Tamandua tetradactyla: one gene and its partners. The protein of the gene in region 1 interacts with the protein of each later gene in a pairwise test. Links are inferred from orthologs where the notes say so. Each region holds a gene or a part of one and is shown on either strand. Other genes may lie near its edges.

The links.
Region 2: the proteins of CMTM5 (region 1) and MYG1 interact in binary tests that used the Homo sapiens proteins (3 or more experiments, as listed by UniProt). The two-hybrid records come from large-scale screens. The link is inferred for Tamandua tetradactyla from reciprocal best matches to the Homo sapiens genes CMTM5 and MYG1.
Region 3: the proteins of CMTM5 (region 1) and TUFM interact in binary tests that used the Homo sapiens proteins (3 or more experiments, as listed by UniProt). The two-hybrid records come from large-scale screens. The link is inferred for Tamandua tetradactyla from reciprocal best matches to the Homo sapiens genes CMTM5 and TUFM.
Region 4: the proteins of CMTM5 (region 1) and COQ8A interact in binary tests that used the Homo sapiens proteins (3 or more experiments, as listed by UniProt). The two-hybrid records come from large-scale screens. The link is inferred for Tamandua tetradactyla from reciprocal best matches to the Homo sapiens genes CMTM5 and COQ8A.

The regions. Positions count from the first base shown.
Region 1 is NC_135340.1:31,514,797-31,522,753, reverse strand, and holds CMTM5 (CKLF-like MARVEL transmembrane domain-containing protein 5), read left to right. Parts: upstream 1-4,549; 5' UTR 4,550-4,579; intron 4,580-4,847; 5' UTR 4,848-4,955; coding exon 4,956-5,072; intron 5,073-5,993; coding exon 5,994-6,146; intron 6,147-6,725; coding exon 6,726-6,818; intron 6,819-7,025; coding exon 7,026-7,110; intron 7,111-7,194; coding exon 7,195-7,208; 3' UTR 7,209-7,490; downstream 7,491-7,957.
Region 2 is NC_135333.1:114,658,991-114,666,571, forward strand, and holds the start of MYG1 (MYG1 exonuclease), read left to right. Parts: upstream 1-4,478; 5' UTR 4,479-4,642; coding exon 4,643-4,858; intron 4,859-5,041; coding exon 5,042-5,154; intron 5,155-7,581. Other genes in the region: ESPL1 (separin), read left to right, coding at 1-179; PFDN5 (prefoldin subunit 5), read left to right, coding at 1,422-1,493, 1,692-1,794, 2,098-2,129, 3,171-3,245, 3,364-3,469, 4,166-4,242. UniProt on the Homo sapiens protein: 3'-5' RNA exonuclease which cleaves in situ on specific transcripts in both nucleus and mitochondrion. Involved in regulating spatially segregated organellar RNA processing, acts as a coordinator of nucleo-mitochondrial crosstalk.
Region 3 is NC_135349.1:25,026,086-25,034,122, reverse strand, and holds the start of TUFM (elongation factor Tu, mitochondrial), read left to right. Parts: upstream 1-4,935; 5' UTR 4,936-5,202; coding exon 5,203-5,245; intron 5,246-5,363; coding exon 5,364-5,558; intron 5,559-5,980; coding exon 5,981-6,147; intron 6,148-6,341; coding exon 6,342-6,446; intron 6,447-6,528; coding exon 6,529-6,693; intron 6,694-6,829; coding exon 6,830-6,962; intron 6,963-7,042; coding exon 7,043-7,147; intron 7,148-7,282; coding exon 7,283-7,434; intron 7,435-7,539; coding exon 7,540-7,659; intron 7,660-8,037. UniProt on the Homo sapiens protein: GTP hydrolase that promotes the GTP-dependent binding of aminoacyl-tRNA to the A-site of ribosomes during protein biosynthesis. Also plays a role in the regulation of autophagy and innate immunity.
Region 4 is NC_135333.1:19,603,824-19,611,457, reverse strand, and holds the start of COQ8A (atypical kinase COQ8A, mitochondrial), read left to right. Parts: upstream 1-4,152; 5' UTR 4,153-4,344; intron 4,345-7,634. UniProt on the Homo sapiens protein: Atypical kinase involved in the biosynthesis of coenzyme Q, also named ubiquinone, an essential lipid-soluble electron transporter for aerobic cellular respiration.

The DNA of each region.
Region 1 (7,957 bases):
TAATGCGTCTTAGGTGTCCTTCCTCTTCCTTGCATCACCTTCTCATTTGTGCAATGAGGATAGTCACGCACAACTTCTTCCAACAGATCCTGCAAACAAACTGATGGAGTCAGAGACTTCCTGGAAATCTTTTAGGGTTAGACCTGTATCTCTATCCCAGGGGAAGGGGCCAAAGCTCAGGAATGGAGGTGGTCACTAAACAGGGCAAGGGGAAGTTGGGGGGTGGCTAATGGACAATGGGGTAAAGGTCATAAATGATGGGGCTTCTAGGACTTGGGGTCATGGAAGATGGGGAAGGGGTCAGGGAACAAAAGAGATGGGGGGGTCACAGGAGACAAGGGGGAAGGAAAGTGTTCACTAAGTGGGTGACCAGGAGGAGGCCTGAGAAGAGAGGAGGGAATGGTGGACACAAGGCTCTGGGTGGAAGCAGCAGAAGTCATGGAAATGAGGCCACTTGAAGAGAGGCAAGATGACATTTCTTATTTTGGGATACCAAGCCAATCAGGGAAATTCCCACAATGCCACTTCACAAAGACATGGAACACTATTGCTTTGACCCCATGCCCGGAAAAGTACAAAGAACAAAGTTGACCCAATAGGCTACCAGACTTTGTAATGACTCTCATAACTTCCATTAGTATAGTATTTTAAGCAACTTTGGAAAACAGTTTCAAGTTTTTAAATCTCTGGTCACTCCCTCCAAAAGGTAGTGGAAATAAATTTGAATAAACAAAACAGGTTTGTTCAAAATAAAACCAGGACTGTTAAATACTCCAGCCAGCCCATTTCCACAAGACCTTGACTATCAGTGCACTCCCTGGTGGCTGAGCGAGCAGCATCCAGCATGTACCAGGTGAGAGGTCAGAGGGTTGGGAGAGCATGGTGCTGAGCAGGAAAGGAGCAGAGATGCTGCTGAGGGCTGAGCAGGCCAGGCTCCCTGGTTTGGGGCTGGGGGCCAGATGGAGCTATGAACCAGGATCTCAGGGAACAGCTGGGGGAGTGGCTTGGGTGGAAGGGGTCCCAGATTAGGTGAGAGCGGTTCTCTCTCTGGCCTTTACCTACAGGTGGTTGCATTCCTGGTGATGGTCATGGGAACTTACACCCATAATTGGAGGCTCCAAAAGGAAGGTACCCAATGGCCCAGCTGCTGCTCCGGCAAAGGGCAGGACCCCTCTGAGGAGTGGCTCAGGTGGAATACTGTGCCGTCTCCCCCAGAGGCTGCCAGCCTCACCCGCCCCCTCATCCATCCTCCAGAGTCCTGCCGGGCCAGCGAGGATGGACCCCTCCACAGCAGGGCCATCTCCCCCTGGAGATATGAGTGAGTGTGTTGTGTCTCCCTCCTAACGTGTGTGCCGGTCAGGGTGTGAGCGAGGGGAACTGGGAGTTCCACCCAAGCCCAGTCTACTTTCTTCCCCTTTTAATCTCAGGCAGGCCATGATGTTTCAGGAGTCCCACATGGCTGGGGTTTGAATCCTAGCTCTGACTCTTACTGGGTGATCTTGGGCCAATTATTCAAATTTTTATTCATCTGTAGAATGGGGGAACATCCCATAGGCTGATGTGCAGATCAAATGCCACAATGCATGTAAAAGTCTGTACTTATTCCAGGGAAAGCTGATTCTCTCCTTTTCTTATCCTTCCAGTGGCCATGTTTTTCTAGTGAAAGTTTCAGGGAATGATGGTATGATACAGGTACACGGTATCCCGATAAAAAAGCTCTGGGCCATGCAGGGAAGAGAGTTACAAGTATACTAAGCTATTGAAACCTTTAACCTTTGGGGGCAGCTGGATGGCTGGAATCTCAGGCTGGTTATCTTTGATCATGAGTGGTCTTATTTTTTCATTCAGTGTGCTACAAAACTATTATCCTTTGCTCTTTGCGCCATGATATGGAAAATATTAGGAGGCTCTGAAATAGGGACAGTGAAGAAAAATATTAAAAATTAGGGCCTTCAGGATCACAGACCTATTTATTCTTCTGTTTTGTGTCCTCATCAGATGTCCATGTTCCCACTTCCCGTAATTCTAGTTCTGGCTTAGCTTTGGCTTTGGAGATGGATCTCCATCCATCTATTCGGTGTGGGTAGAGGGGGACGGGGGTCAGCTTTAATCAGGACTAGATTTAGCATGGAGGTTCAAGGTCATTATGTTCTAGAGCAGTCTCAGAAGGCTAGCTGGATCCTGAGCCAAATTCAGTGGAGGGGCAGCCGCTTAGGGGAGGCTGTCGCCAGGTGGCCATCTCTAGCGGGAGTCTGTGAACCCCTGAGAATCACCCAGCTGGCCTTTCCCAAAGTGTGCTCTATGCCATGCTTGTCCCACAAGCTGCTCCTCTGGAAAAAAAAGCGACAATGTCAAGGAATCTTGGGAAAGGCTGCTCTAGCCCACAGCACATTAAAGGCTGCAAGAAGTGTGCAGAAAAGAACCCATTTAATTCAGTACTTCCCAGACTCGTTTGGCCACAGATCCATTTTCTTGCAGAATACTTATTAGGGAACCTACTTTTGGAAATATTGTGCTAGCTGAGCCCCAATTTTCCAGGGCTTGTTTGTATGGGGAAGGGTCCTTATATTTAGGGTCTATTTCCTGTTGGACTGCTGGAGTCCCAGACCTTTGGCACACTTTGCAGTAGTTCGTAAACCTCTTTTTTTTTTTTTTTTTTGCTAAGTAAGTAAATAAGTACTTGTCAAAATAAGTAAATAGGTCTTACCATACACTTGCACACGTGCTTATGATACATGCATGGGCAGTGTCTGGTAAGGTTGCAAGAAGGGTTGACAGTGGCTCCCTCTGGGGAGTGAGACTGGTGGGGCAGGACCATTAGCCATTACTTTATACTTAGATTTAAGGGCAGTTTTTACTTTTACAATTAAAAAGCACATAAAAATGTAATAACAATAACAAAAAGAGAATCTCATGCTAAAGCCCAGTATATATGCCAGATTGTGCAGAGACTCCTCACCTTCTCCAGCCTTCCTAATGGCCCTTGGACCAGTTAGAAAACCGTTCTCTAGTCCCCTATCCTTATTCACAGTTGGGAAAAGAAAATCCAGAGAGGAAGGGTTCCAAGTCACTGGCTCAAAGTCACACAGCCGGTTAGGGTCAGAGCTGGGGCTAGAAGCCAGGCCGCCCACCACAGCACTTCCTTCGTCTAACACGTGTACGCCTACACTCACGTGGGGCACCCCCCTTGCCCCACTGCTGTTGTGTCCCCCTCCCTCCCTGTCTGCCTGACCAGCTCCCCTCCAGGGCCTGACACGTGCTGCCCCCACAGGTTGGACAGGGACTTGAACCGGCTGCCCCAGGACCTGTACCACGCCCGCTGCCTGTGCCCACACTGCGTCAGCCTACAGACAGGCTCTGACATGGACCCCCTGGGCAACTCGGAGCTGCTCTACCACAACCAGACCGTCTTCTACCGGCGGCGGTGTCCTGGCCACCAGGGTGCCCCCGTGGGCTACTGCCTGGAGCGCAGAGTCTACCGCGTCTCCCTGGCCTGCGTGTGTGTGCGGCCACGTGTGATGGCCTAGCCGGCCAGCCCGCCGCTGCTCCCTCGCCGGGAAAACTGGGGCTGGGCCAGCTGTGGGTCGCATAACCCATCAGTCGTTGTGGGCCAGGACGCCCAAGTGCTCGGCCTCTCCAAAGCATGACCGACCTGGAGCAGCAGGATCCTGGGACAGGATGGGGGGCTTTGGGGGGGGGGGGACCTGCACTTTTGCACTTTTTGGAATGGACGGGAAATACAGGGTGAAGCGAAGGGAGTGGTTGCTGAAAGCTGGTGTGGGGAAAGGGCTTCAAAGCTCTGCTCATGAGGCCACCACGCCTGCTTCCTCCTCTCCTCTTATTCCCAGCTGCCTCTGCACAGCACGGGCACTCTCTTGACGTTTTCTTCTCTGCCAGTGGAGAGCCCCCCGTTTATTGTTCATTTGTTCATTCACTCATTCATGAATTCATTCCTCAAATATCCATTTTGTGTGCATCAGGGTGTAGTTACATATCTTTTGACATGGAATATTCTGAGGAGGAGGCTGTTGTTGAGCATGGAGAGATGTATCCAAATAAAGAAGTCATATTTAAAAGTGGCCTCATTTATCTTTGGCATCCCTGATACCTGAACACCCAGGGGTCGCCTAGCTTGGACTCTCCCCTCCTCCCCACCCCCGCCGCCACCCCTCACCTACTGCCACTCTGCCTGCCACAGTTTCCGCTGTGCCCTCCTATCCCTGCCGCTCTCTGGTTCCCTGACCTACTCCCGAACACCAGGGTGGGGGATCAGGCTGCCTTTCCGGCCTGCCAGAGATACAGAGGCCCATTGAGGCACTGCAGCAGGCACACAGCACCCCGTTGTCCCCCCAACAATCCGCCTTTGTCCTCTGGTCCTGGCTGCTACAGCTCGGTCCAGGCGGGGTGCAGCCTGGGCCAGGCTCCAGCTCCCAGCCTCCCTACAAGGAGAAGGGAGAAAGGAGGGGCCAAGGAAGAGGGTTAAAGGCAGAGGCGGGGGACACAAGTTTCTTCAGGCTTAGGTCCTTGAAGGGCTCCTAGTCCTGACTCTGTTTCTCAGCTTACCTCCCAGCACCCCCTGGTTTGCCTGCCTACTTCCTCCGCTGCCCCTTCCTCCTCCCTGCTCCCCTTCTCCGGGCTGGGTCAGCTGGGAGTAAGGGGAGGGGCTAATCACACCCCAGCTCTCCTCCTCTCTCACCCCCACCCGCCCTGTGCACTTCACAGGGGGCCGGTGCAGGCACCAGTGGGGGGCACTCTGAGTCCAAGCAGCTGGGGGAGGGCCCATCGGAACCAGCCTGCCCCGGCTTCTCCAGGGGCCCCGCAGACTGGCCTCCTTGCTTCACTTTCAGGTTCCTCGCATCCTCCCTGCTCCTGGCTGCTAACCCATCCTGCCAGGTTTCCATTTCCCTTTCTGGGCTGTGGCAGAGGGGGGCTGTGCTCAGTGGGCCCCCCCGGAGATGCTCAGCGCTCGGAACCGGCCCCCCGAGGAGGGGGCAGCTGCGGGACTCCAGGGTTTCGCCGTGGACAAGACCTTCCTCTCTTCCCTCAGAGGCATCCTGCTGGAAACTGAGCTGGTAACTGCTGCCTCCCCGAATCGGGTGCCTCCCTCTCTCCCATCCCTGGCTCCCTGGCCCAGCCCTGGCCGCGGGGCCTTCCCAGCAGCCTCCTTTCCCAGGCTTTCTGGATGCCATCTCCCCCACCCCCATCTCCCACCCTGCCTTCTGGCCGCTCTCCATCTAGAGACAGTTGCAGCAGGAAGAATTGAAGTTAGACAGAAGGACACTCTTGGGGACCTCAGGGGTACCTAAGTCCCAGGGCTGGGACAGGGAGTTGGAATGCCTGCCTGCCTTTCCTTGGCCTCTAAGATGGCCACTTCTTGGCATGTCTAAGAACTATCAAAAAGGGCAGACTTCCTGTGGCTCCACTTTTATCTGTTGTCTACTCCCCGTGAAAATCTATTTCGGGATAGGGTCTTCCCCTGGTCACTAAGTGTACACTTAATTTCTGTGCACATTTGCCATCCTGTGCTGCCAGAGCTGCAGGCCCCTGGGTCACCGTGTGCGTCTGCCTTCTGAGCCTCGCCTCTTGGCGTGGAATTGAGGACTTTGCTCCTTGTTGAAGTTTTAGGCATCTGAGAGCGGGGAAAGTGTTAGGGGGCAGGGCATGCCTCCTGGGGCCCAGGGCTTCACGGGCACAACTGCAGAGGCAAGTGTTCAGACAGTCCTCTGTGCTCCAGGGGGCCACCGCTGTCTGCATTGCCCTTTGAATGGTGCCCCCTGGAGTAGTGCAGCTCGGCCATACCGCTGGGGCTGCGTTTAATGGGCAAATGCCCCGGCCTGGTAGCTCCTGTCACTGGAAGGGGAGAGGGTGGGGTGGTGGAACCTGCCAGAGCTCTTGCTTTCCTCTCCAAAGACAAATGGTGCCAGCCAGGGGGAGCCCCTGGCCTGTGGGCTCGTGTCCCCTTCCTGGCAAGCACCACATGCTCGGTCCTGCAGGCCCTGACCTTCATCATCTTTATTTGCTTCACGGCCTCCATCTCTGCCTACATGGCCGCCGCCCTGCTCGAGTTCTTCGTCACCCTCGTCTTCCTCTTCCTGTACGCCACCCAGTACTACCAGCGCTTCGATCGGCTTAACTGGCCCTGTCTGGTGAGGACACCTGCCCCCCCCACCCCGTCCTAGTTTCTCCCTTCTCCTTTAAACACAGAGGTTTCTTTTCCTCTCCCAGACTCCCCTCTCCCTAGGCCCAGTGAGGGTGGGCCCAGCCCCGCCTGCCTCAGCTTTTCTCTGCCCCCTGCTGTGCCCTGCCATCAAAAGCTGAGAACTGACCCATGCCGGTTTCGTGGCTCCATGGGTCACGGACAACGAGGGGATTGCACACCCTTGTCTGTTCTCCCACTCACCAAAGTCCAGCCCCACTCTCCCAAGAACCTGGCCATCTACAGGTTCTGGCTGGGGTGCTCCAGTCGCCATTTGGGATCGGCTGCACCCCCCTACCCCTGCAGGCCCCTGGCCTCCTGCCCTGGGTAGCTCTGGATTCATCTGCATCTGTTCCCTGGTAGTAGGGGGAGCGCCCTTTGGAAAGAGCTTCGTTTTGTGTGTGCAAGGGTATCCCCTTGTAAGGACTGGCAGCACTGCTGACTAGCCTGGAAAAACCTCAGGTTGGATGCCCCTGACCTCTGACCTTCCCTTTGGCCCTGCACCCCCCACTTTTTTTATCTCCCCCAGGACTTTCTTCGCTGCATCAGTGCCATCGTCATCTTCCTGGTGGTCTCCTTTGCCGCTGTGACCTCCCGGGACGGAGCTGCCATCGCTGCTTTTGTGAGTCTGGTCCTGCAGGGCCCTCTGGGCCCCCAGGGTCCCTGGCTGATGGCTGCAGATGCACCTTTCTGGGTCCTCCCGCCCCTCGAGTCAAAGCCAGTGCCCAGGATTGTGGCTCACGCCTTGCCCCAGGTCACCCGCCTCCCTCTTCCCAAATCCAATGGCCTGATGCCCTTGGTTGTGCAATCCCTGCTTCGACCCCCACAGGTTTTTGGCATCATCCTGGTCTCCGTCTTTGCCTACGATGCCTTCAAGATCTACCAGACTGAGCTGGGGCCCCGGGCCACCCAGGGTGAGTGTCTGCACTTGTGCCCCTGCCCCAGCCCCAGCTACCCCATTCTGAGCTTCCTTCTCCTGCCTGGCTCCATCTTCGCAGGCGACCAGCAGTGACCCCCAGGGCTCCCCAGTTCCAGCCAGTCTTAAGGGGACACAGGAACCCAGACACATCTTCGGTTTTGCGAGACTCTCTGCCTACCACCTCCCCAGCCGGGCCCATGGAGATGACGCCTGGCCAGAGAAGTCTCCAGGCGCATCTGTGGGGCCTGGTGCTCTGGGACCTGGCTCCTGATGGAGCTCCACCCAAGGAGGGGGTGCCGTGGAGGGTGGGAAGGACGACAGAGGGGAGGAAGCTGAGCTCCCAAGTCCTTCCCAAATTAAAAGATTCAAGTACTGGTGGCGAGTCTTTCTGTTTCCCAGAAATTAGGCCTCTCAAAGAATGTGTGTTTTTGGAAGTGTTGCCTGCAGCGGGTCATGGTCCCTCTCTGGACCCTGGTCTGAACAGGGAGGAGGTGGGGGATGGACTGAAGACACAGAAGGCATCATCCAACACAAAACTTGCCTGCCACAAATCTCTGGATTCAGGGCCACTTTGTGGCGTGCCTGGTGCTTGGCGCCTGGAGTTTTATATCTAGGAAGGCACAAGGCTTCCTGATGCATCGCCCACCGGCCACACCTGCCACACCTGCCACACCTGCGCACACAGGTTTGTTAGTGGGCCAAGGAGAGGAGCTAGTCCGGGGCGTGTTTCGAGCTCCCCCTCGTGGTGTGGGGAAGATTTGGCCAGCAGGCCCCAGGTGAGGGGTCAGTCTATGACGTCAGGGGAGGGTAGAGAGCCCCAAAATGCCAGTGCAGGGAAAAAC
Region 2 (7,581 bases), on another chromosome or scaffold:
GGGATGTGACTGACCGTGACATTGACCGCTATACAGAGGCTCTGCTGCAAGGCTGGCTTGGAGCAGGCCCAGGGGCCCCCCTCCTCTACTATGTCAACCAGGCCCGCCAGGCTCCCCGTCTTAAGTATCTTATTGGAGCTGCTCCCGTGGCCTATGGCTTACCTGTCTCCCTGCGGTGACCCCTTGGAGCTATTGTATATCTGGTAGAAGCCAAGTGACTCTGTTACCCCCCAACTTAGATTTTATCCTTAGAATAAATATTTTTAAGTGATTTCAGTGTTTTATATGAAATATTTCCTTTTAACTTAACCTTAATAAAGATATGTCACCTAAATACTGTTTGTGTAGCTCATTTGATAACATTTGTGGACTTCCTGCTTCCTCCCCACTAATCCCCCCCGGCCCCCACCATATGGTACTGTAAGTGCATGGGAACAGCTTTCAGGAGTTCAAATCTGAGAGCACTGGGGATAAAAGGCAAAACCACAGGACAGAGCTGGGCCTGGCTGGGTCTCAGCAGACAAAGCTGAAGGAGAGAGGGGTAATAAAATGCTCTTAGTGGGAACAGAGGCCCAGGGAAAAGTAGGGACCCATTGTGAGCAACTTGGCCAAGTGCCATCACGTCTGTCTTGTCTTTCTCCTCAGGTATCCTGGGTGTGACACTAGCTTGGTGCCTCTGTTATCTTGCCCCCCTTCCAAGTAGATGTCAGTGGCTGCTGTTCCTCTTTCACGTACAGCTGCTACACACTTGTCAGTGCCATGGACTTAAGCAGCAAATTCTGTGGGATTCTGCTCCCTGTGTATTTTATTTATTTATTTATTCATTTGTCTTCTCAACTAGATTGTAAGCTCCTGTGAAGTACAAATTATATCTTACGCTAGTGTATTCCTCACATCTAGTATATGGTAAATACATTTTGTGCTGAACTTGTTAGTTGTAATGGTACCTTCTTACTGTTCTCTCCACCTCTGGACACTCTTCATCTTCATTTGACCAAAGGACCGTTTTCACAGTGCTATGCCCCCTCCCACAGAACTTCACAGGCTTCCTCCTGGCCTCTCAGTTGCCACTCACGTGGATTTTTACCACTCACATGGAGCAGCTTACGCTGCTTGTGGTAATGTCCCGGGTACTTGTCTTATCTTTAAGATTTTTAAGTTCCTTGAGGACAGACGGCAGAAATCTTGCTTGCTACAACTTTACTGTGCTATGCTTGGGATGCTTTGTGAAAGGGATGCGCTCTTACCTTCTCGAATCAAAGGCGAATCTCGGGAATTTCCAGCCCCTCCTTCCTGGGACGGAGGAACATAGAGATATCCGGCGCAGCGAGGCCTCCTGGCGCTACCATCGAGATGCGCAGAGGATGGCTAGAGCGTAAAGCGCCGAGCCGACTTCCCTTTCATTAGCCCTCCTTCTCAATATGGCGCAGTCAGTTAACATCACGGAGTTGAGCCTGCCGCAGCTAGAAATGCTCAAGAATCAGCTGGACCAGGTGGCGACGGACCCCTGAAACACCCTTTTCCCGCCTCACAGCTCCCCTGCCCAGGCGGACTCCTCGCCGCCATTCCTCCCCTGTTTGGGAAACCTCCCTTCCAAGGCGAAACCGCCACCGCATCCCCGGTCCTGTCCCCTCTTCGGCCAGACTCCCCTGACGCTCCAACCCGTTGACCATCTTTCCTGTTCTCTGCAGGAAGTGGAGTTCCTGTCCACGTCCATTGCCCAGCTCAAGGTGGTACAGACCAAGTATGTGGAAGCCAAGGACTGTCTGAACGTGCTGAACAAGAGCAACGAGGGTATGAAGTAGGCGTGCGAGGGCCACACGCAACATAGGGAGTGTGGTTAGCCAGTTTCCCCTCTCTTCCCGCCGCTTCATCCAGTTTTCCTTACCCGAGGCGCGAAAACAATCCATTGCGTATTGTAAGAGCCCTTTGCATGTTCCATACCTAGAGTTGAAATGTACAGAACTTTCCTCTGTTTCTGTTGCCCCTGTTTCGTCCTTTTCATACTGGGTGCTGTACTATGTTGGAGTTCCCTGTAACGTTTTAATGTTGGCGCTGCCAACCTTCCCCAGGTGTTTGTCTTAATTCCTTTCACAGGGAAAGAATTACTTGTCCCATTGACCAGTTCTGTATCCTTTCCACAGGAACTGCTGCCCTGACCTCTCCCATTCACCCCTTCCCCCTCCACAAAGAGGAGGTAATTTTGATTACTTCCGAGTCCCTTTCATTCATGATTCTGAAAACTTCCAGCTCTCTTTTTTAATCTGGGGCTGCCTACCATCCAGCTACTGCCTTGTAAATTACCAAGGGGTGTGTAAAGTTGAGCTGCATTATTTTCCTTTGCTGTTTGAGGATATTAATCTAATATAGGGACAAAACTGGTAGTTTACACTTTTGCTAATAATCTGGATAGACGACATAGCAGTAGAAGAATAGGGTATAGAAACAGTGGTTGGCTCTGTTCCTTTTTCTTTTTCTTTTTTTTTTTTTCCGCATGGAGAGGCACCAGGAATTGAACCCAGGTCTCCAACATGGCAGGCAAGAATTCTGCCACTATTGGCTTTGTTTCTTAATCTTCAATTTCAGCTTAATTGTGGCTTTTTTTCCTAAATTGCCATCTCTGAGAAGCCTGGATTGTGTCCACCTATTAAGTGTTTTTGTTGTATGAACAATTTATGGCAATAGGTAGTCTGAGAACTGACAGGCTAAAAGAGAAACAAAGGAATAGCAGTACAGTAGGGAAAGGTTAAATAATCATTAAATTCATTAGGAACTAGGTAGTACAGGGTTGGAGGTATTAAGGGGAAGTGAGTCTGGGTTTTCACCTTTACTACTCTAGAAAAGTAGGAAAACATCATTGTATCTAATCTTTCTGGAAGAGCTAATGGGAAGAATTTGAGAATTGCTTGTAGGGTGGGAGATGGGGTCAGGGCAAGAGAGTGTGCTAGCATGTGACATTCTCTCCACAAGGAACCACTTTTTCTCTGCCTCTCCCCATTGGAGTTTTTAAGTATAGTTCTAAGGGCTTCTGATTATTCAGAAAAGGTTATATTCAGTCCCTTTGCCTTGAAGCTTTCTAGAGAAGGTGTGCCTTCAAAGGCCAAGCAGACTGACTTACTGGAATTGTGGTTCATACTGGGATAGTTTTTCCCTTAATCCTTGCTTCTCAGATGTACGTCCCTGGTAAGCTACATGATGTGGAACATGTGCTCATCGATGTGGGAACTGGCTACTATGTAGAGAAGGTGAGTTTCTAGAAGCAAATGGGTGCCCTTGTGAGCAAGAAAAGGGAGCTTAGGAGAAGATCTAAGCTGTGATATATGGTGTCTCCTCTTACCTCTCATTTACCTCTGACCTGTGCAGACAGCTGAGGATGCAAAAGACTTCTTCAAGAGGAAGATAGACTTCCTCACCAAGCAGATGGAGAAAATCCAGCCAGCTCTGCAGGAGAAGCATGCTATGAAGCAAGGTAAGCTTGACGTAGGCCATGTTTTGTCCCTTTCTACCTCCATGATTAAGAACATGGATTGCAGTGTGAACCCATAGGGTTTAATCTTGACTGGGTTAAAGCCATATCTTTATTTCTCTTCCTTTGGTGTTTTGGTGTGTTATTCTCTAGCTTTTGTGTACTATCTGTAGATTTCTGGGTTGGGTGCCTAGGATGGAAATCATGTCCGCTCTTACAGAGGTCTTATTTAATGGAGATGGAGTAGGGGATAAGATAATGTAAATGAGTATACAGGAAAGAAACATAGCACTAAGTAAGTACTAGTGATTGCTACCTTAGCTGCATGTTAGAATCACCTGGGCCTGCTCCACACCAACTAAATCAATCTCTGGGACCTTGTTCCTTAGGCATCAGTGTTTTTTAAAAGCACCCCAGTTACACAACCAGGATTGAGAACCCCTGTTCTAAACGCAAAAATCTTTTCCACGTTATATCTTGCAGTTAAGTTTGGCTCATTTAATACCATAATTTGTTCATTTTAGCACATTGACACATTGTAGGCTATAAGTTTGTACCTAGTGTGTCTGTCCCCCTATCACTGGTTAAAAATTGTATTAACAAACTGTAGCTGGTTGTCTCCCTTTGCTTTTCTTAACTCTAGGTCCTCTCCTTCCTTTAGCACTGGCCAGTGTCTGAATCTTCCTTTTTCTTCCCCAGCTGTCATGGAGATGATGAGCCAAAAGATTCAGCAGCTCACAGCCCTGGGAGCAACACAGGCTACTGCCAAGGCCTGAGCTTGTTGCAGAAATGGGGTTAGAGGGCACCCTGCTTCAGGGGCCTGGACTTCGTAGGAGTGGCTTTTTGGTGTGGGGAAGATAAGGGCCTTGTGTTTAATGCTAATAAATGTCATTTGGGCACAGTGTTGGTCTTTTCTTGCATTAATCAGGTACTGTGTTGGGGTTGGAGGTGTCCGGGAGAGTGGGCTCCTGCCCAGTGCGTGATAAGCTGTGAAGCGGTTCCCACTTTGGAGGCCCCACACGGGATCCCTAGGAGGAACTGAGAAATCTTGCCCTGCTTAGCAATGTAGTCCTGTGAGGGCTCTGTTGCCATGGGGACGGCCGGCAAGCGGAAGTGGGGCCAAGCGGGCTCTTCCCTTTCCGGGTTGAAGTTCCGCCTCCCCGCCGCGGGAGCCATATGGGTCATAGCTTCCTGTGCCATCTCCGCCAGTCACTTTCGTGGCTGTCCCCTTTCCAGGCTCGACTCTGCATAAGGAGCCTGGCGTCTGTCCCGGCCCCCAAACGACCCCGCGGCGACCTCATGGCACCGCCCCGAATCGGGACGCATAACGGCACCTTCCATTGCGACGAGGCACTAGCGTGCGCGCTGCTTCGCCTCCTTCCCGAGTACCGGGTATGGTCCGTGAAAATTAGCCCTGCACCTACCCGCGTGCTTCCGGGATGGACTGCGTTCTCTTTAACTCTACGTGTTCCAGCCCGTTCTAACTGGATCCCTCTGGTAGCACCCCTCCCACCCGCTCTGGCTCCCCTGTAATATATTAATTCCCTGCCTGCTCACCTCCCATGTATTCCGTAGGATGCAGAGATCGTGCGGACTCGGGACGCCAAGATATTGGCTTCGTGTGACATCGTGGTGGACGTCGGCGGTGAGTACGACCCTCAGAGACACCGATATGACCATCATCAGAGGTGAGTTCCCAGATCTCATTTCCTTTACCTCTTTACTTCACCCTTCCTCTGTCCTTATCGTCTACCTTGGTCCGTATCAGTGAAGGGAATTGGCCTTCGTTGAACTCAAACTCCTGAGTCCCGCAGGGAGTACATCCTCCCATCCTTCCAATTTCTGTCTGCCATTCACCCACCTTTTTGCCCTTAGACCTTTCTCACCCCTGACCTCTACCCATGCTTCCCTTGGCCCCCAGTCAATCCTGACTCACCTTCTTCAGCTCAGACTCTTTTCCTGCCAGCACCGTTATCACCCTAACTAATGCCCTTTCTGGGATTAATCCATTCATCTGCTCTTGCTGCCACACATGGGGCTGCTGGGCCCACATGATTGTAGTGATCGTTGGCAGTTTAAATAGGCATAATCTACCTCATTCAGACTCTTCCACTGAGAAATTTTTCTTGTCCAAGTGTGTTCATAGTACCATTCCAGTCCCCCTTCCTTCTCTTCAAGCTCTCTACCTCATTAAACCCCCTCAGTGATTGTCCCTGACTTCTACTCCTCAAAGAAAAGTGAACTTTTCCTGCATGAACTTCCTCAGTTTCCCACCCCTGAATACCCTGAACTCTCTCAATCCTTTTCAGGAAAAAGTGGTCCCTTGTTTTGGAGATTAGTCCTCTGCCCTTCTTCCAATCTATTACTTCCTTCTGCTTGGCTTCCCCTCACAGGTCTCCCACCAGCGTTTCTATTCTTCCCTACAGCCCAAAACTGTCCAAAACATCTCCCATCTTGAAACAAAGGAGTGAACTCAAAACAGAAAACCCCATCAAATCCACTACACTGTTCAAAGTAGTCATCTCTGAGGGATCCTGAAGACATTTTAAGTTTCTATATTTCTCCATCTCTTTTCTTTCCTTCACCCTATTTTTCTTAAACATTGTACTTCTTACTTTTATAAATGGTGTCTAAAGGGAAACCTCCCCTTAGTTACAGCTTAAGCTCTCACTGTCAGTCACTCTTCAAAAGAATAGCCTATCCTGGCTCTACCTCTTCCCTTCCAATTAATTCCCCTCCAACCAGCTGCAGTAGCCTTCACACCCATCTCAGTTGGCTTAGGGTCTCACTTTAACTGACCTCCTTGTGGCATATGACATCATTGACTACTTCCTCTTTGCTAACGGTTCTAGTTCATATACTTTTTCTAAAAATTATACAATGTCTGGAATATAAGACATAAAATGAATGCACACAAACCTATTTCCCTACCTAAGAATGGAAACATTGCCATAACCTTTGCATCTGTTCTTGTGAGCTTTTTCCCTAGCCCTCTCTCCTGTCTCCCTCACAAGTAAGAATGTTGTTCAGTTCTCACAATGGATTTTAGCGTATGTGTATTTCTATAAATGATGTATTGTTTAGTTTTGTTTGTTTTTAAACTTTATCAGGGAATGTTAGTGTATCATCAATCTTTATACCCTGTGTATATTTTATATATATTGTATTTGTACAATAGTTAATAATAAAAATCATTAAAAAAGAGCTCCCTAAATGATTCTGATGGACTGGTATTTGGAAATAACAGCTGTAGTTTTTATTTCCTTAATATGTAACACCTGCTCCTTATTCTCTGTCCCACTGCTGTTCAAATTTCTGCCCTCCTCATTCACCTGGACCATTACAGGTAATCTTGCATTCGTTCTCCAAATGGGCTGGCATGATGCTCTAAAATGCACTTGCCTGCTTAAAATCCCTCAGTGCCCCTCCCCCACCCCACTCCATTGCCTACAGATAAAAATCCAGATTTCTTTTTTTTACATCAATTTTTTTCTTTTTTATGAAACATAACCACATACAAACATAAACATTATCATATGATCATTCCATTTTGTTATGTAATCAATTACACACTATCATCACATAGTTGTATATTCATCATCATGATCATTTCTTAGAACATCTGCATCAATTCAGAAGAAGCAATAAAAAGAAAACAAAAAAATCATACATACCATACCACTTACCCCTCTCACCAGCATTTCAATCTACTAAATTTATTTTACCATTTGTTCCCCTTATTAGTTATTTATTTTTAATCCATATGTTTTACTTGTCTTTCAGTAAGGTAGACAAAAGGAGCATCAGACACAAGGCTCTCACAACCAAACAGTCACACTGCAACAGCCATATCATCATACAATTTCTTCAAGAAACATGGCCACTAGAGCACAGCTCCAGTTTCAGGCACTTCCCTCCAGCCTCTCCATTACACCTTAGCTAACCAGGTGATATCTATTTAATGCATAAGAATAACCTCTCAACTCTGTTTGCAATCTCTCAGCCGTAAATAGTTCAGATTTCTAAGTGTGACATAATCTGGTCTTTGTCCTTCCAGCTTTATCTTTTCTTTTCTTCCCTCCTTTTTTTTAACGGTGGTAACATAAATACAACAT
Region 3 (8,037 bases), on another chromosome or scaffold:
CAGTGAAGAATGTTACAGGGACAGGGAAAAACATCTGCAAAGACCCCAAGATAGGAACAACTGCAGGACATTTGCAGGGAAGGAAGGCAGTGTGGCTGGGAGAGAGCAAGGGAGAGGAAAGTCATATCACAAGAGAGTCAAAGAGTAGGCAGGGGGCCAGATCAGGCAGGCCTTGTGGGCCAAAGAGATGATTTTTTTTAAAAAAATAGTTTTATTGGGATATAATTAAACTACCATGCAATTGTCCATTTAAAGTAGAAGTTTGGATGTTATTCTAAGTGCCACAGGAGTTAATAAGGGAATATTAATTTCTGATAAATTATTTTTTCAGGGACCATATGTTTTATTTATTAAAGTAAACCAAACTCCAAGCAGAATTGTAGCTGCTTACTAGAAAATTTTTAATGCTTTTTGAAAGAAAAATATATACATTACTGAACTCCAATGACCGCACAAATATAAAATGTGGATGACATGGTTAAACACTGAGACAAGTAGGATAAAGTTTTGGGTTGCCACAAGCTCAGAATAATCAATAGTGTGATGGTGCATGATTTAGTGACAGAAAAATTAAACTAGGTCTGGGCCCCAGGACAAGTCACTTAAACTCACTGTAAAATAAAGTTAAGAAGAACACATAATTCAAAAGATTGTTTTGAGGGTAAGATTATCTCTGTGAGAATTTTTTGCTGATGCATATTTTTAAAAGCTTGATCTGGCTACTGTGTGGATGATGGATTTGACAGGTATTAGGAATAGGAATAATAGCTGGGAGACCCACCAGAAAGCTCTTGAGGTAACCTGGACCAACAATGCCACCAAGTAGACCCCCAGGGCCTACTTGAGGAGTGGCCACATTTGGGGTATATTCTGGAGAACCAGCAGGGCTGGATAATGGGCTAGGTGAACAGGGCAAGGGAAATGGTGGTTCTGTTTATTGACATATGTAAGGGATGAGGGGGTGGGAGAGAAAAAAGAGTACTATTTTGGACACTGTAAATGGTGAGCACCACAGTGGCAGCACCCTTCAGCTGAGAAAGCTCACTAACAGTTCAACTGTTTAGCCAGGTACAGGGGAGGAGAGATTTGTGAAGCCCAGCCCCCACCCTGCTCAAGTCACAACGTATTCCCAAACAAGCAAAACCAGGACATATGTCTCAGTGTACCAACTGCTGTAAGAGTGTCTGTCAGGCTGTAATGGGCTACAAATAACAGACAACTCTGAAGCATTCTGGCTTAAACCATAAAGACAGTCATCATCTCCTACCACAAGGAATCCAGCCTTCTAGGATCCTCTATGCTTTGGCCTCCTCTGGGTTCTGGCCTTGTCATCCAACTGGGAGCAAGAAGGCTACAGTGTTTCCCGCTCCCTGCCAGAACCAGCCACATGTGGAGTCAGAAAGAGGTCCATCGCTTCCAGTGTTTCCTTCTTTAAAGTGAGGAATTCTTTTCTGGAAGTTTCCTCAAACAGATCTCCTCTTACCAATTATTGGCCCCAGAGGAGTCATATACTCAACCCTAAACAAATGCCCTGGCAAGGACCAGGGGATTCCAGGACCAGCGGAATTGTATTAGACCTGTCAGGATTTATTCCTGGAGCTGGGAAAAGGGCAGCCAGACCAGGCCAGACCAGGCCTTTTGTTTTGATGAACAAAATCAGGGCCCTGCCTGCAGGGAGATGAGAAAATTGCTGCTAATTTGGAGCTAAAATGTCTGCCATAGAGCAGAATGAATGGCCTGCTGCGGGGGTGGAGGAACCCAGAAGCCCTTTGATTTCAAGAGCACCTTTTTTAAGAGTTAAAGATTCTGTACAAAGAACCCTTCTTTCTTTAACTGTAATGACAAAAACAAAAATGTTTAAAAGAGAAAATCTCTCTCCTCCTCCAAGGAGATTCACAGCCTGCCGAAATCACAATTGTTTTCAACTTCCTTTGTCCTAATCTCTTTATCCCCTGCCTTCTCCCATCCATGGAGCCGTTCCTCCCTGGTTCATTTTATGTTGTTCACAAGCATTTTTACAGGTACCTGGCTCCATCTCTGCAACTCTGAGCCTGCTCCATCTAGCGGATATGTCACAATTAATGCTACCATATCTACATACTGGACATTTGTGATCATTCTACTCTTTCATTGTATTTGTCACAGGCATGGCTGGGCATCTTTCTTTTTCTTTAATTGTGGTACTATATATATATATATATATATATATATATATAAAATTTGCCTTTTTAATCATTTTCAGGTATACAAGTCAGTGGCACTAATAACATTTACAATGTTGTGCTACCATTACCAGCATCCATTACCAAAACTTTTCCATCACCCCAAGCAGAAACCCTATACCCATTAAGCAGTAATCCCGCGTTCATTCCTCCCTCTAGCCGCTGGTAACCCCTAATCTACTTTTTTTCTTTATATATTTCATGTAAGTGGAATCATACACTTTTTTGTCCTTCTGTGCCTGGCTTATTTCACTTAGCATAATATTTTCAGGGTTCATCCATATTATAGCATATATCAGAACTTCATTCCTTTTTTCTGGCTAAATAATATTCCATGGTATGGATAGACCACATTATGTTTAACCATTTATTTGTTGATGGACACCTGTGTTGTTTCTGCCTTTTTGTTGTTGTGATTAATGCTGCTAAGAACACAGATATAAGAGTATTTGTCTGAGTTCCTGCTTTCAGTTTTTTGGGGGTATATCCTAGGAGTGAAATTGTCAGGTCATATAGTAATTCTATGTTTAACTTTCTGTGGAAAGTCTCTTTTGAAGAGACTTTCTTATACCTCTAGGGAAATTCCCTATCAGTCCTGCTTCCCCAACATCAAAGTTGACAATATCTCTCTCAGCCTCCTCTGATACAAGAACACTTACATGATCAAGGCTTCCACAATCAGGCACATCCACGTGAGACTTTGAATCTGTCTGGCTTTGGGGCAGGGTGGAGGGAGGTCACTTTCTTGATGCAGAAGTGGTTTCAGTGCCGCGAGCAGTAGCAGACAAGTCTAAGTCCTGGCATTTAGTATCTGGAGACAGTGGTAGCAGCAGCAGTTTTCTTTTCAGGTCAGTTCAGCAGCTATTTATCCAGCCCTCCCCATCCCTGCCCAGAACTTTTTATTTATTCATTTATTTATTTATTTATTTATTTATTTATTTAATCACTTGCCCAGTACTCTTTAACAAATCCCTCTTCTGCTTAAACCAGCCAATATAAATTCTGTTACCTGTAAATTAAGATTTCCGACTGATCCATTCACTGTTATAAAAGATGTTGTAGTTAACAGCTCTATAATATTTTTTTCTTCCTTTGGACTCTTAGCCCTGTGCTTCTGAAACTTCATTCAAAGGCACCCCCTTCAAAAATTTTTGCCACCCATAATATTATTTACCGAATACTTTTTAAATTGACTGATCTTTTGAAACTCAGCATTTACTTGTGCCAGGTTTTTCCTTTTTTTTAAAACAATACACACACACAAACACCATTAAAAGAGAATCCATTAGTTCACATACCACCCCCCAAAAAATTCATAACCCACTAGTGATCACAAAAATCTTAGGATAATTTCCAAGAGTAGAGTGACAGAGGTAAAGGGTAGGAACAAAGAAAACAGTTTTACACTGTACCAGCCCTTTCTAAGAAAAGGTGATAGTTTGGAGGACCAGGAGGAAAGCGGTGTTGGCTGGTCTCTTGGTTTATCTGAACCATCCATAAAATTATAGTTCTGTGATAGTACTGTACATTGGTTTAGTGCTATGTTTTGGAGTTTTGCTGCATTAGGTTCCTTAACCTCCCTGATCCTCAGTTTTCTCACCTGTAAAATGGGAGAAAGAACAGATCCTACTATACAGGGTAGCACTGGAAGCAGTAATTGTGTACCAATACGAAGCATCTGCACAACACCTGATACCTAAAAAGCTGTAGTTCATAGTTGTCGAAACTCCTCTGTGCTTAATAAAGGGAGGGTGTGTGTGTTATAAATATAGTTTCCCTGATAGTGCCCAGTCCCTCTGAATCATAATCTCCAGGTAAGGAAGCCAGTCAACATAGTCACAGGATCTAGTGAGTTTCAGAAACTTAATCGGGTTTAAGTAGCTGCTATTATTGTCTTGGAGTAATGTTGGGAAGCTGCGATGAAACGATGGATGTGAAAGTTAAAAGTTATTACTCATTCATTCAGTCAACGCATTTATTGAGCACTCATTGCATGCCCCGCCCCGCGTTAGGTGATGGGGATAAAGCCTAGAACAAGATTCAGTCTGCCGTTAAACGCCCCCCTAGGTTGGTCCTTCACCCTCATTTATAAAATTGAGGCGGGAGTCGGGAGGTGGCGGTAGTGGTGGTGGCGGGGCGACGATCGGAGAGTTTCTCCCTGGGCTGCTGATGGTTTACAGGAATGTCTTGGGGACTGTGACCTGTAAAGTCGGGCAGTAAAGAGTCCAGGAAGTTGTGAGCCAGGGGGCAGCTATTTGTGGGGCAGGGACTATTCGACCAGGAGAACAGAGGATTCCGTCCCTGATCTCGGCCCGTCTCATTTCCTCTCAGGTGGATACTGTTATTTCCATCTAACGGATAAGGTTTAGCGGACAGAGGGCTTACACTTGATCCCACGCCCAAAAGGCGCCCCGGGCCTGGCCCTACCTCCACCTGCGGCATGGAGGCCGCCCGGCCTCCCGCGAGCCGCGCGCAGCAAGTCGGACTCCAGGGGATTCGCGGCCTCTCTCCGCCGGCCCGGGACGTTCCTCAACAGTCCGCGCTAGGGCCGTCTTTGCCTTTCGGAGGCCAGGACGCTGCCGACCCCGCGGGCCCTTACCTAACCCAGACTCAAAGTGCCCTCCCGACCCGCCGGCCTACAAACTACAATGCCCACGATGCTTCGGGGCCCTGGTGCATTGTGGGAGGGCCCTGGTGCCTCATGGGAGGGCCCCAGAGCGCACCAGAGAAAACTCCGTCGTCCCGCAGGCGGCGAGGCCCATGTGTATTGTGCAGACACCAGCGACCAGCGCCTTCTTAGAAGTCCTCCGTCCCGCGCCCGGAAGTTGGCGGAAACGACCATAGAAACTGGTAGCTAGAGGCGCCCAGCCTCGCCCTGCCGGCCCCTATTCTTGCCGGAAATAGCCTCCAACCCCAAGTGTCCTTCTTTTTGGCACTAGCGGGCTTCCGGTCCGGTGCCCGAGGCGCAAGCACGACCACAATGGCTGCTACGACCCTGCTGCGCGCGACGCCCCGCTTCAGTGGTGAGAGAGCAGGAAAGGCGGTGGTGGCTCAGGATGGGGGTGGGGGAGAGGCATGTGGGTGGTGTCGGGGTGGCCGGGCTCGAACCCGCGCTCTGACGCCAAGCCTCTGCCCCGGCAGGTCTCGGTGCCGGCACCACCTCAGTGCTGCAGGTTTTGTTCCGGCCGCCGAAGGCCCCGGCGCTGCCCGTCTTGTGCCGGGGCCTGGCTGTGGAGGCCAAAAAGAGCTATGTGCGCGACAAGCCCCATGTGAACGTGGGCACCATCGGCCATGTGGACCACGGCAAGACCACGCTGACTGCGGCCATCACCAAGAGTGAGCGGGCTTGGGGTGTGGCAGCTCCCGATCTATTGGCGGGACCTGGAGCCCAGAGTGGCTGCTGGAGGTGTTTAGTGTGACCCCAGAAGCCAGGTCTCCGGCGGGCGGTAGAATGGAGGATCCAGGAGACAGAGGTCCCCTGCTCACTTAGTACTTTGCGATGCATTTGGGGGACGCGCTCGCCGTGGGAGTACTCTGTAAGAGGAAGCTTTACCTTGGCTGACCCCTGGGGCCTTTTAACGTTCCTGTCTGATCCAAAGTTACCTCTGCTGCAGGAGTTCGAGACTTGAGGGAGGCGGAGAGAATCTTTCTTCCAGACTATTATTTGTTTAGGTGGGAGGGGCCTAGGGGCGTGGTCTGAGCCCTGCTTCCAGTTCTAGAATTTGAGCTGAGAGGGGGTTTCTTTCCCCCTCCGTTAGTTCTGGCGGAGGGAGGTGGGGCCAAGTTTAAGAAGTATGAGGAAATTGACAATGCACCGGAGGAGCGAGCTCGCGGGATCACAATCAACGCGGCTCACGTGGAGTATAGTACCGCAGCTCGCCACTATGCCCACACAGACTGCCCAGGTCACGCAGATTATGTCAAGGTGAGAGTTGCTGCACACGGCAGGGCCAGAACTGCTTCTTGTCAGGATAAAAGTTAGGGTTCTGTGGGAGGAGGTTGATAGTGGATGTGTGAGTTTGTGGCCGTGGGTAGTGGGTGGTGAGATGGCTGGGTCAGATGGATATGGAGCTGAGAAAGTCACTTTACTAGGCTGAGGGTTCCATTTCTTCCGCCCAGAATATGATCACAGGCACTGCCCCCCTTGATGGTTGCATCCTGGTGGTGGCAGCCAATGACGGTCCCATGCCCCAGACCCGAGAGCATTTATTACTGGCAAAACAGGTATGCAGAGCTCATATGGGGGTGGAATGAGTAGGGGTTGGGCCATTCCAGACATTTGCCCTATCTTTGTCCCTGTCTCCAGATTGGGGTAGAGCACGTTGTGGTGTATGTGAACAAGGCAGATGCTGTCCAGGACTCTGAGATGGTGGAACTCGTTGAGCTGGAGATCCGGGAACTGCTCACTGAGTTTGGCTACAAAGGGGAGGAGACCCCAGTCATCATAGGCTCTGCCCTCTGTGCGCTTGAGGTGAGGGTGGGGACAGCAGGGATTGCTGGTGGAGGATGGGGCTGCATGGGCAGGGGCTCTGCCCCGAGTCTGGGCAGACTTGTGCTAAGTAAAAGCAGAATGGAGGTTTCAAGAGTCCTTCACCTTCATCTCCCAGCAACGTGACCCTGAGCTAGGGCTGAAGTCGGTACAGAAGCTGCTGGATGCTGTGGACACCTACATTCCAGTGCCCACCCGGGACCTGGAGAAGCCTTTCTTGCTGCCTATAGAATCGGTTTACTCTATCCCTGGTGAGGACTGGGCTCGTTCACCACTCCCTCTCCAAGAGGCAGGCCCAGGGTCCCTGACATCCGTTCCTGTTCCCTCCCAGGCCGGGGCACAGTGGTGACAGGTACGCTGGAACGTGGCATTTTGAAAAAAGGGGATGAATGTGAGTTCCTGGGACATAACAAGAACATTCGCACTGTGGTGACAGGTATGGGAATGAAACCTCAGCACCCAGGGACTGGCTCCATGCTGACCTCTCCCCTGGCACATCCCTTGTGCTCTTCCTCTGCCCCAAACCCTCCTCCTTTATTCTTTCTCCTCCCTCCTTTCTCTCTCCTCCTAGGCATTGAGATGTTCCACAAGAGCCTGGAGAGGGCAGAGGCAGGGGATAACCTTGGGGCCTTGGTCCGAGGCTTGAAGCGGGAGGACCTGAGGCGTGGCCTAGTTATGGCCAAGCCAGGTTCCATCCAGCCACACCAGAAGGTGGAGGCACAGGTGAGGGCTCTAGGGGATGGTGAGCAGGGCTGAGCCAAACAGCCCCCTGCAGAGACAGTGCTTCCAGCCAGGCCCAGCTCTACCTCACCCTGCTTTCTTATCCAGGTTTACATTCTCAGCAAGGAGGAGGGTGGTCGCCACAAGCCCTTTGTGTCTCACTTCATTCCTGTCATGTTCTCCCTGACTTGGGACATGGCCTGTCGTGTCATCCTGCCCCCAGAGAAGGTATGCAGGTGTAGAGAGATGTGAAGGAGTGGAAGGGGTCCTCTTCCAGTCAGCTCTACCTTGTTTACAGGGAGGCCAAAGATGCCAAGATGTCTTGATTTCCTCGGGTGGAGGTGTATGGGTCTGGACCGTGTACCCTGGGCTGAAGTAGGCAAGCTTACTCTACCAGTATTTATCCCTAGGAAAATTAAAAGTTCCTGTTATTTATTATGTGGGACTCAGAAGTCCTGCAACTTCTACATAGCCCATAATTTAAACCAAAAAAAAAAAATTTTTTTTTCCAAAATGTTTTTCCAAAAACATAACCTTGGGAATACTGATCACTGGTCCTTTTTATGCTTTCCTGCCCTTGCATCTGCCCAACATCACCTGCTGCAT
Region 4 (7,634 bases), on another chromosome or scaffold:
TTTTTTTGGCATTAATGTGAGAAAGGGAGAGAGCTGTTGAAATGATTATCTGAAAGTTCCCTGGGGCTTGGATCTTGCAGACCAACGAAAGAATTTTGGATTTTATTCTGAGAGGAGAAGCCATTAAAGGATTCTGCATTTAGAAATGATGTGATCTGAATTTTGTTTTAAAACAAACAAAAAGGGCTTCCTGAAAGATGGGTGGAAGTGGCAGACCAGTTAGCTGACTACTGAGATAATTCTGGTGAAAGATGAGGTTGACTTGAGATAGGCTGACGGCGATCATGGAGGTAAAACTGGGTCGATTCAGGTAGTCTGTAAATAAAGTAGAAGGATATGCTCATGGCTCTCAGGTGAGTTATGAGAGAAACAAAGGAGTCAAGGAGGTCTCTAGGTTTCAGGACTGAGCAATGGAAGAAGCCACTTATTGAAGACAGGGAGCTCTGGAGTAGGAATGAGGGTTTGGGTGGGCAATCAAGGGGTCAGTTTTGGACAGTTTTCTCTTTGAGACACGTGTTGGGAATCCTAGTGGAGACGCTAATGGGCAGCTGGATATGTGAATCTGGAATTCTTAGGAGAGGTTAGTGCCGGAAGTAGAAATTTGGGAGTTATCAGCTTCTAGAAGGTGGATGAGCTCACTAAGGGAGTGAGTGCAGACAGAGAAGAGGTACAATGAGTAGGTCCTGAGGTCCTCCAACATTTAGAGATAAGGAAAATGATGAGGACCCAGCAAATGAAATGGAGAAGAAATGGCTTATTCTTAGAAAGAGAATCAGGAAAGGATAATGTTCCAGAGATGCTGAGTAAAAAAAAACCTGTTTTTAGAGGGACAGAATAAGAGGATGCCAGCAAAAATGGCAGAGTAAGGACTGCTTAATTCTTTTCATCCACAAAAGCAATGAAAAAATTGGCAGAAATGGAACTCTAGAAACTAATCAAAGATTTGCAGCAATTGGGGAGCAGTTATCGAAGAAAAATGGCTGAATCTCAGTAAGAATGTTGAGTTTGTGTTTTAACTTGCTATAATCTTTTCTCCTGCTCTCCAGCCATGAGATAGACTTGAAAAATAACATACATAAAATATAATTTTCCAGCGTTTTGCTGGAAAGGGGAGCAGAGAAATGGGGATGGGGGTGAAGGTTGAGAGATATTATAATAATTCGGTAGGCTGATGGGAATGATTCCGTAGCGGAGTAAAAATTGGTAAGTGCCTCCTCTGTCTGTGCTATTAATGAAGAGACAGAAGGGAATTACTGGAGTATCATGCTTCTTATCTAACTGTGCCAAGCACAGGTGTCTCTGGTTATTGGGGGACTGTGTATGTATGTATGCGTCTACACACATGCATACCATTTCTGTGTGAATGTGTGTATAAAGTATAATACTATATTAAAATATTATGCCCATTAGTAAAGATACACAAATGCAAATTTTTAGAAATTTAAATTCTAAAATTTTTTAAAATTATGATGGCATTATAGGAACATTAAAATCTCAAGGCAAATAGATATTCGGAGTGAGGTACATAGTAAATGAAATCCGTATTTCAAATGTCTTCTTGATCACTTTGAATTTTCTGGCTGTTTTCTTGTCAGCTTTAGCTAGATCCAATCTTGCTCTTACCTTGTAGTGAGGCTGACAAAATTTTCATACCAAGAAGAGTAGAAATGACTGTTATTTATTATTTACCCTGCCTGTATTACTAGCATTGTCTTCCATTGGGAATTTTTTTGTTTGGCAGGTATGTTTTATTTTTATTTTTATTATGGAGAATTGTTAACATATATAAAGAAACAGAATAAGAGAATGAATCCCAATATACCCATCATTCTCTTCCACAATTATCAACTCATGGCCCATTCATTCTCCCCCAGCCCTGTAATATTTGAAAGCAAATCCCATACACCTGGAAATAATTCAGTATGTATCTCTAAAACATAAGGACTCTCAAAAAAAACATAGCTCCAAAGCCATTATCACACCCAAAATATAATTTGTAGGAATCTTTAATTTGTAGTAATGGGGGAATCTTTGCAATAAAAACCAGGTCAGGAAAGAGAGAAATGTATTTTTAGTACAATAAAGCTGAGGTCATTTTTCAGAAGGAGTAAGTTCAAAATCATATTAACCTGATGAAGATGCTTTCTTTGCATTGACTAGGTGGGGTGCATTTCTCTTTAAACTAGACTGCTGATTCTTTTTTTTTTTTAATTGAGAAATCTTCACACACACATTCCATACATAGTATAGAATCACTGACTCACTATATCATCACATAGTTGTGTCTTCATCACCATGATCATTTTTTAGAACATTTGCATCACCCCAGAAAAAAAGAAAGAACTCATACATATAACACATCTTACCCCTCCCTCTCATTGACCACTAGTATTTCCATCTACTTGACTTATTTTACCCTTTGTTCCCCCAATTATTAATTTTTTTATCCTTTTTTTTTTTCTCATCTGTCCATACCTTGGGTAAAAGGAGCAGACTGCTGTTCTGGAAGAAAATCTAGTGTGTGGTGGTGGGTTGTGTTTGTCTTCAGGTGCTTCAGGAGAGAATGCCCTGGCATTGCTGGTAGAGCAGGGCTGAGCTCGCATGGAAGCAGCCGATTCGCTGCCCATGGAATTCGAGTGCCATAGCCTCTCCCCACTTCCATCAGCAGAAACGGGAGCCCGCGAAAACCTCACCCTCACCCTCACCCTCACCCCGCTGAAGTCTGAGATACAGGGAGGGATGGACTGGAGACTCCATTATGCCACGGACAGGTGGGAGGCACTAGGCTGGAGGACCTGCAGGAACGCAGGCAACAGAGGGGGAACCGGTGGTCCCAGAGGGCGCAACGGACACGCTTGGAAGGCCCAACCCTTGAGGCTTGGTGCTCCCCTGCGGTGTGGGAAAAGGGAGCCAGCTGGTCTCTCCCTAGTTTTTAGCCCTGTACTGTTTGGGGGAAATTACTTGAAACGTCAACATTTTAACTTAATTTTTCCTCATAATTTACTTTTTTTTTTTTTTTTAGTGAATTATTTAGTGCAGGGAGGATGGGGGAGGCGGAGTTAGGATTTGGGCTGTGGGTAGTGGTGGCAGCGGAGCGGTCTTTGCAGAGAGGCCCCGGCCGTAGGCGGACACCCAGGCAGAGCAGCCGAGCGCCCCGCTGTCCTCCGGGGGCAGCCCACGGAGCCTCGACATGGAGCTGTGGTCACCCACATCCCACGCTGAGTTCTGTCCTTCACGGGGCACGGCCGGACACTCTGCGGTGAGGAGCGGGGAACCCAGGGCAGGTGGTCAGCGCGAGCTGAAGGGGCAGATGCCCCCATCCAATGTCTGCGCCAATGTAAATGACTTTCCCAGTAATTGTATTAAAATGAACGAGCCACTCTTTCAAAGAAAGTTAAAGAAATGCTAACACCAAAAATATCTCTGAACAGAGAAAGATCCTTTAGCTTGAATGTTCATTTTTATGAGAAATTCACTACATTGTTCTTATTCTTCTCTTTTCCACCAGAACTATTAACCACGGTGGGCAGAGCTGCAGACTCGCACTTGGAAACCCTCGGAGAGGAACCGTCAGGTGATCTCCGCGATGGTCCGCGCCTCACAGCGCCGCTCCGGCGCCGCAGGGGCCGCCTCCGAGGAAGTCACTGCTCGGTCACCGAACCCCACGCCCCACAAGACTCCTGGAGGGCAAGGACGAACGACTGGGGTCCTTTACCTCTGACCCTGCCGGGGCTCTGCTTTCTGTGGGAACTCGAGTGCTTTCTAAGGAAACTCGAAGTTTCTTATGCAAACTCGTTGCATAAGGCGGGGCACCGAGCAGCCTTCGCCTCGTCCTCAAAGCCGCGACGCTCTCCACATCCACCCAGGCCCGTCTCCTCCCTTCACCACCTGTTCACAGGTCCAGCCGGGCCAGCACCAGCGAGTAGATTGACGGATAACGCGCCTAAGGGGACCCGGCACAGACCGCCGCGCGTGCGCACGCGCACCGAACCCTCCATCGACCCGCCCAGCCGGGCCTGGCTTTCTCCAACCCCAGCACAAGGCTCTGGAAGGTGCCCGAGGGGACCTGCATGCCAGGGCAGCCTCTCATTGGCTCCTCTAGTTCCGCCCCTGGTTCCGATTGGCTGCAGGCCGGGTGCACGGACTGAGCACGCTCCCTGGCGTGGCGCAGCATTCGGTCGGCCACAGCGGCGCAGCCAATGGGAGCGGCCCGCTGGGCAGAGCCTGCCCTGCTAGGGGTGGTCCGGACTCTGGCTAGGTGGTAAACAGATCCCTCCCTCGTGCTAGCTGCCCGCGCTGCGGCGAACCCGAGAGGGACGCGGGATCTCCGGATCCTGCAGCCAGGTAAGGCTGCCGCCTAGGGCCCGCCGCATGTCCGAGGAGCCGTCCGGCTGTGGCCGGAGCTGGGCGCTTCAGCTGCCTGGCCCCTCTTGCCTCCTCCTGCAGTGACAGCGCGACTTCCCCTTCGCGAATTTCCACTACGGCGGGCTCCGGGGACGGGGCGCGGTGGGCTCGCCTCAGGATGCAGGGTGGGGCTCTGTGGCTGCCTCTCGTACCTGCGCCCACCTCAGCCCGGCCGACCCCGCCTCGGGGAGGGTACAAGGGTCGCGTGCAGGAACCCTAGGTCCTTGGAACGTGCAGGACAACTTCGGTGGCCGGCTCTCCCATGCCCGTGCCTCTTGGTCGCCAAAACAACTTTTTTTGCTAGGCTTTCTCATGATACTGTTTCTTTTTACTCCTGGACCCCAGATTCCCTTGCACTTGTAGCTTTGTGTCTCGGATGCAGATTTGTGCCTGAAACTTTGATTCACTTGGGGCCAAAGCCAGCTGTTGGATGTTAGCGTGGGGGATCTTGGTTAAGAGAGTCTGTCTTGGTCATTTCTCCCGTTTTTTTTCTGCTTTGGTCCTTCCTTCGACTTCTCCAAGCCCTGGGGATCTTGTGAGTGGTTTGGGCTTAATCTCCAGAACTGGGCCTTTCCCTGGCTTTGGCCCTATTCGCTGCAGAGGGTACGGCCCCTTCTGCTTTGGGGACGGGGGAACGCTGCAGTGGCAGGTCTGGATGTTGAGACTCTCCATTTGGTTCAGAGGGATAAATGTCCTAAAGGTTGAGAGGCTTGAGTGCAGCTTCCCAGCCTGGGTCAAGCCTGCAGCCTATTGAAAAACTTTTCTGTGCTCATTTGGTTTACATGGCAGAGCAAGGCGGAGATGGGCATGTTAGGCCTACCTCCTTGCTAAAGGACTTGAGCATGCATTGCTGCCAGCCTGTCAGGTGGCATGTTGTGGATGGGTGGGTCATTCTGGTAGGAGGGCTGTTGGGAAACTGTCTCTCTTGGAGGAGACAAAAGAGGAGCTGCTGACACAGAGGGGCAACATCTTTAAGACTCAGATGATGGCTTGGGGGAGTTTTGTTCTGCATTGCAAATAATGCAGATAGTGCGTGCTTGTTATAACTGTTGGCCTGAGCCCTGGCAACTCAAAGAAAAAGTGAACCTGGTGGTCTGTTTACCTCCCTCAGAGCCAGTCCTGTATGACAGGTTTCTCAACCTTGGAACTACTGATATTTTGGCCTGGGATAACTCTTTGTTTTGGGGGACTTCCCTGTCCATTGTAGGGGGTGTAGCAGCATCCCAGGCCTCCTGCCACCAGATGCTAAGAATATTCCTTCTCCCCTAGTCATGACAATTACAGACATCACTACATGTCCCATAGAGGGCAAAGTCACACTTAGCTGAGAACCACGATGTAAGGATCTTTTGAATATGTCCATGAGTAGTTGGAGAGGCTTTAGCAGAAGATAATGTTGTGTCCCCTGCCCTAAGCCAGCAGTAGAAGTTGTGTAGATTGGGCTTTAAAGGAGATCCTCCCTCTGCACCTGGGTAGCAGAGGTGAAACCTGCCAGCATAGAGATAGGAGGTAGAAACCATGGGCATTTACTGTGCCTGCTGGATGAGGGCAGCGATAGCTGTGTTGGGAGTGTAGAAGATGGTGGTTTCTGCCCTTGAGGACTTTTCAGAACTTTTGGGGCTATATATATGAAACACGTTTTAAGTAGTGAGCAGATGCCTTTATTGGTTTAAACACTGGTAGAAAAGCCAACTCAGTTATCCATTATCCATAAGTGGCTTTCCAAGCTGATGCTTCACTCACCCTTACTTTATGCTCAGATTCCTCTTGTGGCTTGTCGTGTGGGAGGGGGTCTGACCTATGTCTTCAGGGAGTGAGTGAGTGGCTGCATTTCATATGTGCGTGTGTGTTGTATTTGTGTGCACCATCTGCGGCTGCAGACTCAGAAATGTCATGGTGTAGCATGGCCACGGGTATAATTTGTGGAGCTCTTTTATGGTTGACTGAAGAAGCCATGTCATAAAGACAGTGTGCCATTTCTTCTTGTGCAGAGAAAGATGCTTTGCTTTTGAGGCCAGATTGTGCCTTCTATATAACTTGGAATATATCCCCCAAACTTCTAGGTCTCATGCTGATGGGGATATAGAAAAGATGAAAAAGGGGCGATTATTGTATAGGGCTTATGCAAGGAGAAACACCCCAAGCCCCTGACTGAGTTTCCCTTTCTTGTTGTTAATGGATCCTATGGATGTGCCAGGATATTCCTGTCACTATTTCTTGATCAGGTAGGGGGTCTTCTGGTTATGCTTTGTTGTATACAGAAAAGATCAGGGCAGGGAAGTCACTTCTCCTTTCGCAAAGATAAGTTTAGGGAAGTCTATTATAGGGAAGCTCCAAACTTGGCTGGATAATTTTCCAGCAAAAGCATGGACGCTGAGTCATTTTCTTTGTCAGTTGAAATGAGAGCTGTGTGCAGGATTAGACAGGGATATTTGAGTAGAGAGTTGTCTTGATTTGACAGTGGTGTCTGGAAATAGTTCGGCATTCCTGCTCAATGACGGGTAAGACCTTGGCACAGCCAGTGTTAAGGAGCTGGAGGGAGGGGGGCCTTCTGGAGTTGGACCTGGTGGGAAGGTGGAGCCTCCGGATACGGAGGTAGAACCAGCACATTGCTTGAGATGTGTGGCTAGTCCAAGCACTCTGTGAACCTGAATCTGAGTGGTATCCATTGGTCTCTCTGCAAGCATGTTGATTGTGGGGCTGTAGGTTCTTGAGCCCTTGACCTTTTGGTTTAAGAATAGAGGACCACAGAGTGTTTAAAACTGGAGGTGACCCTGGAAAACTCTTTATTCCTCATACCTGGGTGTAATTTTAGCATGTGCATGTATAGAAAGGGTCACTAAGGAGCTCAGTGTTTTTCACTCAAATTGCCACCTAAGGGTATCTTAGAATCTGCTGTAGATAGTGGCTGATACTTATCTCAAGAACGCTCAACTTGCTGGTGCCCCTGCAGGCCCTGCCTCTGAAGAAAAATCCACCTCAGAATAGGTGAATGTGGTTATTTACTCCTCTTTGAGCAAATACTGATTACCTACCTAGAGCCAGGCGCTGTGGGAAGATAAAGTGAATAAAGGCCAGGTCCCTGCTCTCTGGGAACTCAGGGGTATGCAGATATCACCTAAATGTCCTCAGTGTGACTTGGACTAGGGACTCTAGGTCAGACCACTTCCGGAAACTGGGAAGGCTTCTTGGAGGAGGAGGCATTTAGCTGGGCCTCAGAGGGTGAGCAG